Arabidopsis thaliana: one gene and its partner. The protein of the gene in region 2 purifies or fractionates together with the protein of the main gene of each other region. This does not show direct contact. Each region holds a gene or a part of one and is shown on either strand. Other genes may lie near its edges.

Region 1 (3,178 bases), on a different chromosome or scaffold from region 2:
TAACTGAGAAAAATATATATTGTGAGAGGTACCAAAGCGTTTTCGGTTCAACCTAGATGAATGAAATTGGAATCTAAGATACAGTAACATAATAAACGTTAAATGTACAAATATCGACTTGTATATTAAAAAATAAACTCTATGACATTATATTGTTTGAGACTATACGAGTAATAGTTATCTTTTGATTTGATTGCCATCATATTCTCACATAAATGCAATGATTTTATATTTAAAAGAACATGTACCACCCATTGCTCATGAAGCAAGCAATGCTTGATCACTAGCTAACATCACTGTAATTTAATATATTGATAAATAACTTTTTATCAGGCGACATATATACAAAAGTTTGTTCAAAGATTTCATATACATGCATGCGTCATATATAACACAATTTTTTTTTTTACCAGGAGATATTTTGATCCTTCATATTGGCTGCGGATATTTTACATCATATCGGTCATAGTAGGTAAACGCGTTCTTCAACTTTAGAAGTCGACAATATATGTTTTGAAACTATTTTTTCCATGAAGTTGGATGATAAAACGATCTTGTCTCTTATAAATGACATAAATATCACATTATTGTATAGAAAACTTGGCAATTGGAATTAAATTTCATTTATTACTCAATTTACAACATCGACCCCTCCATGCGAAATTAATATGCGCGGTTGCAGAAAATTATCCATCCATATTCATAATTAAATTAAAAATATTTAAAACCGAACACCAACAGATAATTAATTTCACAATATTTCCAGTAAAACTGTAAAAAAATGTAAATATTGAATTAAGCCTCATCTTCGAGAACAATAAGGGTAACTTCTCCGCCGTTTAGCCGTAGTCGACGTCTCATTGTAGACGGAGGAGAAGAAACGGTCAATCTCTTCCCGATTCATGATTATCTCACAAGTCGACACTAAAAGCTTCCTCTTGCACGATCTGATCATCAGAGCCGCCGTAGCCGACGGTGCTGACGGTGGTGGCCGGGGTTTTCTCGGCGGAGGAGGTGGAGAGTCTACGACGGCGGGAATCTTGTGTTCTTGGGATGTGGGTGTGCTGCAGCGGAGGTCATCTTCGTCGTCATCACCTTCGTCCTTCTTTGTTTTTGAGGTTTTGGATCGGATCTTGATGGGTGTTGGGAAATTGAATTTGGACAAATCTTGTAGTAATTCAAGATCCATATCTAAACTTGTGTATGTTTTTGTTTTTTGGGAAACTTTTTTTCTTTTGTGGATGTAGAGAAAACTTCTTGGAGAAGTGAGAGGTTGAGAAGGGTTTGTTATATGTGTTTGTGTCTTTACATACACGTATATACATACATAAAGTTAGAATGTCGCATTTAGAAATGAGAGTTACTTTTTGGCATGGAAAACGAAAATAAAATATAAAATATAGTATGGAGTAAGTAAGGTAAAACTATATAAAATGGGAAGGGAAAATGGACGTAACTTCCGAATTTAGAAAAAAATATATTATTTACTAGGGATGGTAAGTTACTTGTATAGTTTGTATGTATTTGTGTTTATGTACAAAACTAGCTAGAGCACATGTGATTCACAATTTGTAAGGGTTGCCTAATTTTGTTAGTGATTGCTTAAAACCTTTGGGATGACCTTAGTAAGATGACTAGCTATATTAAGTTTTGTACTGTAATATTTGTTGAATAATAAAAAAAAGTGAAAAAAATGACTGGAGATTTCCCAAAAAGTTTACAAAAGACAAATGAAACTCTAAAGTTTGGAAGTGCGAGTGAATTAAGGAGGGCCATAACTCATGAAACAAACGCAAATGGTGTTCTCGTACCATCGGTCTCCTATCTAAAGACGTGTGGGTTATGGTCTCAACAAGAACATTAAAGTGTGTCTATATAGAAACTTTTACTTAATAAAAAAACTCGAACCATCAAAGTAATAGTAATACCATCTATAGGTAGTAAAGAAAAGTACACACATATATATACAAATTTTAGATCAATGTCTTATCTTAGATCTCAAACATAAAGTTTGGTTAAATGTGTGTCTTGTACCTATTACAAACCTAAAAACATGGCATGTGATTAGATTTAAAACTAGTCCATGCATCATTATATTTTATGTAAACAATTGATTGCATCAGTTTCTGTATCCTCTACTTTAATAATTACTTAATGTCCAATGTGAGAAGCTGTATAATTTTTATGTGACATTATGATTTCAACATATACGGTGGACCCACAACGTTTTACACGCCAAGTTTAATAATGTAGAAAAAAATGTAAGCCTTTGCCATGCCATAGAACAATTATTAGACTTGTAACATGAGTTTGCTTTGCTTACTCATCCTAAACACTTTGCGTTTTTCAACTTAATGTAAGATCTACATTGGTTTACAAAATCTAATTATTAAATTACAACCGAAAAATAGATTTGGTACGATTATAAATTTAGTTTATACTTTGCTATACGTTGTTGATGTTCTTTTTGTCTTCATTCTTAGAATTATCAGTACTCTTAACATGTACACAAACTCGCTAAGCTAGCTGTATATTTATGTAATTAATTATTACATTTGCTGAGTAATTTTACGGCAAAATATGACATATTTTGGACATGCCACGTAGAAAAGCATGTGATGATGATATATACTGTATATAGAGTAGATCTGTGTAAGTGAGTCAGTGGTAATATCTAACTAAAAAAGTACAGAAATGGAAAGATCTATATGATCTCTCTCGCAGGATCTCAATCTCTGGCCCTTTTTTTTGTCAACCCTTCTTCCTCTCTTATTATGTTCTTCTCTCTCTTTTCTTTTGGTTACTGTAATTTGTTTTTTTGTTTATTGACATTGACACGTTTTCTTGCTTCGATTTTTACGGAAAGAGAGATATGTATATGAGGAATTAGGATAAGTCGATGTAATTTTGTAAGGCCACGAAACCATACGATCACAATCAAACAATCTGTAGCATTTAGAATCCATCAATTATAATCGATGTTGAAGTTTCGGTGGTCCAATATACTTACGGTTGTTAAAACTTTGGCCAAAACGAATCGTCTAAAAGCAATACCAGATTTAAATGGAATGTAAATGGAAAAGGAATCGAGAAATAAGAACAACTGATCTTAAAGTCTCACAATGTCCTACAAATTAAAAATGCACTTGTAATAATAGTAATAATAATTAATTATATT
Region 2 (4,828 bases):
TCTACATTCAGATCTGGGGAAAGTGGCTGCGGTGGCGCCGGCGATGAATAAGCGGCGGGAGTCGGTTGAATTGACTCGACGAAACCTTTGTTACATTCGCAGCACACGACAAAGTCATCTAAGGTTTCAACGACGACGCGTTTGTTGCAGTGATAGCACCAGTGCGACGCCGTGGCATCCGGGGAAGACGACGGAGCATCGGACATCGTGCAATTAATCGTCGGGTTTTCAGGCTTTCGGGTCCGGATTCGGATCCGATAAGCCGATTAAGAGGATGGAGAAAATAAAAGAAAAAGGTCTCTCTGTATTATTATTATCGAATTTTTAAGACATTAGAGAATCCTGCTCATTTACCCACTTGACCCACCCACAATATCATAATATTTTCTTCTATATATGATATCACCATCATCATAAATTCATAATACTTACAATTTAATCAAACTGTTCAATTGCTGTCAAACATAAAAATCAAATTGTTCAATCCAATTTAAACCAGCTTCCAAATCAAAACTGACTTGCACTTTTATCCAAAAACTTGATAAGATAAAGTACCATTTGACCCATGAAATTTTGTCATATCGAAAAGCATAATTTTAATTTCTTTTGACAACAATACAAACATATAACTCGAATACATAACTTTGTAATAGCGATACAATTGTTTCAACAGCACCCATAAAATAAAATAAGATTAAAAAACCCAAATCGTTACAATAAATTACAATACAAAGATGGCCTCCTCGTCTCAAGCATAGTCAGACCCACCATGAAGGTGATACATAGCGAAGTCTCTCCATTCACCAAATGTTGCAAATGGCAAAAGACCGTTTATGACTGGAAGAACAAACAGAATCACCACATACACGACACTGCGCCTTGCCCAATATGGAAACATACTGTTACAACGGTTCGATCTGGTCTCTTGAGTCACGTTTATAGGACCGAACATTAGACCATACAAAGCCAATGTGAAGACATTTGCAACGAATTGCAAAAGGCAAAACACTTCCCAAACTATTAGCCAGAGTTTGCCATCACCGCCCAATGTGTCCACACACAATTTACCCGATACACCGCAAAATATACCGAGGAAAAGAACGATGAAACTTATCGGCATTGTCTGCTTCGTACCTGATGATCGTTTGTTTAGAAAGTAAGTGAAGACAATGATCATTAACACACCGAAAAATATCTGCACCCAAACTCGAACCCGGCAGATGAAGGTGTTGAAGCCTGAGTTAATCGATGAAACTTGTTTAGGAACCCACCACGACGAACTTTTCTCCTCGGATTGGTCGCATACTGAGGTAGCATCCTCGATTCTCTTTATTGAAAAATTGTAAACGCCAAGTACCATAGAAGCCAACATGCTGAAGACACTTACGAGGAGCCAATCCATGATTCTTGTGACCATCTCTTCTTTTCTTGTATCTTCTAATTCGGTTTTGAATTTCTCCGCTCTGAATGCAGCTTTCGAAACATCCAACTCTAGCGCCGCTTTCCCCAGGTTGTTTGATTCAAATTTTAATCCTAGCGCCGTCTCTTTGCACCTTAACTCTCTTATTTGAAGACCAATCTCCACGGTCTTTAGGTCGTTTGCTCGTGTTTGCTCTTTTAAAAACCTTTCGTCTGTGGTCAAAGCCATTGCTGAACTTCTAGGAGGGACACAAGAGAGTTGTAGAGTCTCTTCGAAAAGGGCAAGCTCATTCATCAAAGAGGTTGCTGTTGCACTGCCTTGCATCACTTCATAAGCAGACGTAGCAGATGAAGTCTCCCTCTCAAATAGCTCGGTGTCTGAGCATCCGTCTATGGTAGAGCGATCTAAATTACAACTCCCACCATCATTATTGTTTGACTGATGTGGATTTGCACATTCATTGGTCAATTTAAGGATCTTTAGAGTACTGCTGAATGTTTGCTCAAAGTTGGTCGCAAAGGAACCAAGCTTATTACCATAAACCTGTAACCACAACATTATGAATCAGAAAGTCTATAAATATAAAAATGCGGAAAACATAGAGGGGGATTTTAGCTTACATTGGCTAATGATTCTTCGACAAGAGTAGCAAAGATCTGGAGAGCATAATCAATGAAGTTCTTGTATCACTACCAAAACGATGGCAAAAGAAAGATTGAACAGAAACTGAGAAGAAATCATTTGAAGTTCATACTACTTACCTCAACAAGATCATCAACATAAACATTCTGACCTGCGGCATTCTTTCTCGCAATAACCTAGAGAACAATAAAACAGAGTAGAAACAGAGTAAGAACTACAGAGCATATGCAAGTCAATGACTTTGGCGGCTAGGTAGGATGAAATTTGGTGAAATCACAATCAGAACTACAAATCCGAGTAGAAACTAGAAAGGCTCAAGCTTTAAGGCAAGTGAGAGAGAAGACAATATAAATTTGCAATGTTACATTGAAGCTCGATCATAGAGACCCCCAAGAAGAACTTCAGCTTCTATTGATTGACTCTGATTATAATTTGAGGAGAAGATCCTCTCTTCGATTCAGGGTGAAGAATTCACGCAAGTACTGAGAGAAGAAAATTCAGATTCAATCCTTTTGACTCTGATTCAGATCCTCTCCTCTGTCCAGTTTTGAATCAACAAAGCCTAAATTGAAAGACTTTGTATTTAATACTATCTAAAGATCAAAACTTTCAACACAACCAAAACCTAGTATTCACGCAAGGTCAACTATAGGAACAACCCGTACCAGCAAAGCCAATTTCGTATCAAAACAGTTATGTGATGCAATAAAGATCAAAGTTTGGAAATTGATCGAACCATATTAGCAAAAGCGGCAAGTGAAAAGCCCAGAGGCTTCGCCAATTTTTCAGCTTGTCGTTCACCAACGCTTCGTCGAGCCATACCTAACCGCATAGGGTTTCGTAATCTATGAACCACTCTCGTAACCCTTTTAGTAGAATTTGAATTAGAGGTAGAAGATGTAGAACAATAGGACGAAGAAGCTTCGTCGTTGTCCATAATCTCTTTCTTCTTTCCCTTGAGTTTTCTCTTTTCCAAATTCGATGGATTCGTATCCTTCTTCTTCTTCATCATCATCGTCTCATCTTTATGTACGTCACCAGATTGATGATTTGGCTTTGAATTCGCCGGATTGGTGATTTGATTTTGGGGTTCCGGCGAAGGAGGGAGGAGGAGGGCTTCCATAGCCTTAAAATATAACTTATGGGGTAAATTTGCAACTTTGAGAAAAGTATTTAAGTTGTAAGACTTTGGTCGCTTCGTGACTAGTGAAAAGTTTCGAATTTCCAACTTTTTCCTCTGATTTAATTTGTATTTTTAAAAATTCGTCATAATTAGCTTAATATAGGAAAAATACTTGACCAAATATCTGAATTAACTTGTAAGTTCAACGAATTCTTCAAATTATACAATGTATATGTTAATGTCAATTAAATAGGTAATAATATGTTTACTCGATTTTTAGCGATAATTTGATGTTTCTAGGTGCTTTCTGTTCAATGAATAGGATCGGTTCAGTACTTAATTGAACTAAAAGTCATACATATAGCTTAGGACCAGATTAACATACCAAGTAGTCGAGTTTAGGACCGAACCAATCAGTTTGGTTTGAAGATGGACCATAAAAGTGTTTGGAAAAAGGAACAATAAAAAAAATCGCACAATGTTTGTGGCTCCGATAAATAACACGATGAGGTGTCTTAACACAACCAATCAAAACACAAGAACATCTCCTTCACTAATCTCATCTTATGCCACGTGTCCTTTTCATATCCACCCCTTTTATTTTATCATAATTTTTTTTTTTAACATTCTCTGTGGTTCGTCATGAACCTCAAAAAACCTCTCACTGCAAAGTGCCAACAAACAACAAGTCTTCACCTTCTTCTTCTTCTTCTTCTTCAAAATCTCTTGTACGCAAATAATCCATGAGAAACTAGGGTTTAACTTGAGATCTCTCTTCCGAAGTATTACCATCAATGGCGACTTCTTCTTCTTCATCGTCGTCTCTGCTTTTACCAAACATCAATTTCAACTCAAGACAATCTCCAACAATCACTCGTTCCGTTTCAATCGCCGGGATCTTCTTACCCAGAAACCGATTAAGCTACAATCACAATCTCCGGATTCGTACGAGATTAATCAGAGCTTCTAAAGACGATAATGTCGCTGTTGAAGATCGTGATAATGCAGTGAAGATCAACGGTGATTACAACGGAAGTGCACGTTTAAACGGTAACGGCTCTGCGAGAAAATCCGTCAACGGAGATTTTAACGGAAGTGCTCGTTTGAACGGTAACGGTAGTTTGGTGAAGTATGTGAACGGAAGTGTAACGGTGGAAACGGAGGAAGTGACAAAGAAGAGAAAAGAAGAAGTGAGGAAGAAGAGAGTAGAAGATATTGGTCAAGAGGATGCTTGGTTTAAGAACAACACTCAACAAAAACAAGTTGAGGTATAAAGTAATGTACTTTTAATCAATATCGTTTTGTTTAATGATTCAATTCCTTGAAAGTTTGCTACTTTAATATTGTTTTACAGGTTTCTGTTACACCTGGTGGTCGATGGAATAGATTCAAGACTTACTCAACTATTCAAAGAACATTGGAGATTTGGGGTTTTGTTGTACAGTTTATTTTCAGGACTTGGTTAAGCAATAAGAAGTTCTCTTATAAAGGTTGATACTTGTTTTTGTTTGCTTACGTCTAGGATTAGGACGATTCTCATTTTGTCTAAATTCTTGAAAAATCATGTGTATAAGGGGGAATGACTGAAGAGAAGAAGGTTTTAAGAAGGAAGGTTTTGGCTAAGTGGTTGAAAGAAAACATTT

The links. The genes of interacting proteins can lie anywhere in the genome.
Region 1: the proteins of CPR5 (region 2) and LGO purify together in Arabidopsis thaliana (affinity purification with a luminescence readout, with the first as the bait; one study listed by BioGRID). This does not show direct contact.

What each region holds. Positions count from the first base shown.
Region 1 is NC_003074.8:3,280,774-3,283,951, forward strand, and holds LGO (LOSS OF GIANT CELLS FROM ORGANS), read right to left. Parts: upstream 1,359-3,178; 5' UTR 1,278-1,358; coding exon of another isoform or gene 1,248-1,277; 5' UTR 1,206-1,247; coding exon of another isoform or gene 1,190-1,205; coding exon 803-1,189; 3' UTR 533-802; downstream 1-532. Other genes in the region: AT3G10527 (uncharacterized protein), read left to right, coding at 903-1,205, 1,248-1,277. UniProt on the Arabidopsis thaliana protein: Probable cyclin-dependent protein kinase (CDK) inhibitor that functions as a repressor of mitosis in the endoreduplication cell cycle. Cooperates with SIM and SMR2 to promote endoreplication during leaf development.
Region 2 is NC_003076.8:25,945,137-25,949,964, forward strand, and holds CPR5 (CPR5 protein), read right to left. Parts: upstream 3,262-4,828; 5' UTR 3,186-3,261; coding exon 2,799-3,185; intron 2,239-2,798; coding exon 2,182-2,238; intron 2,077-2,181; coding exon 2,041-2,076; intron 1,964-2,040; coding exon 749-1,963; 3' UTR 547-748; downstream 1-546. Other genes in the region: CIP8 (COP1-interacting protein 8), read right to left, coding at 1-206; ATH13 (ABC2 homolog 13), read left to right, coding at 3,980-4,453, 4,540-4,675, 4,760-4,828.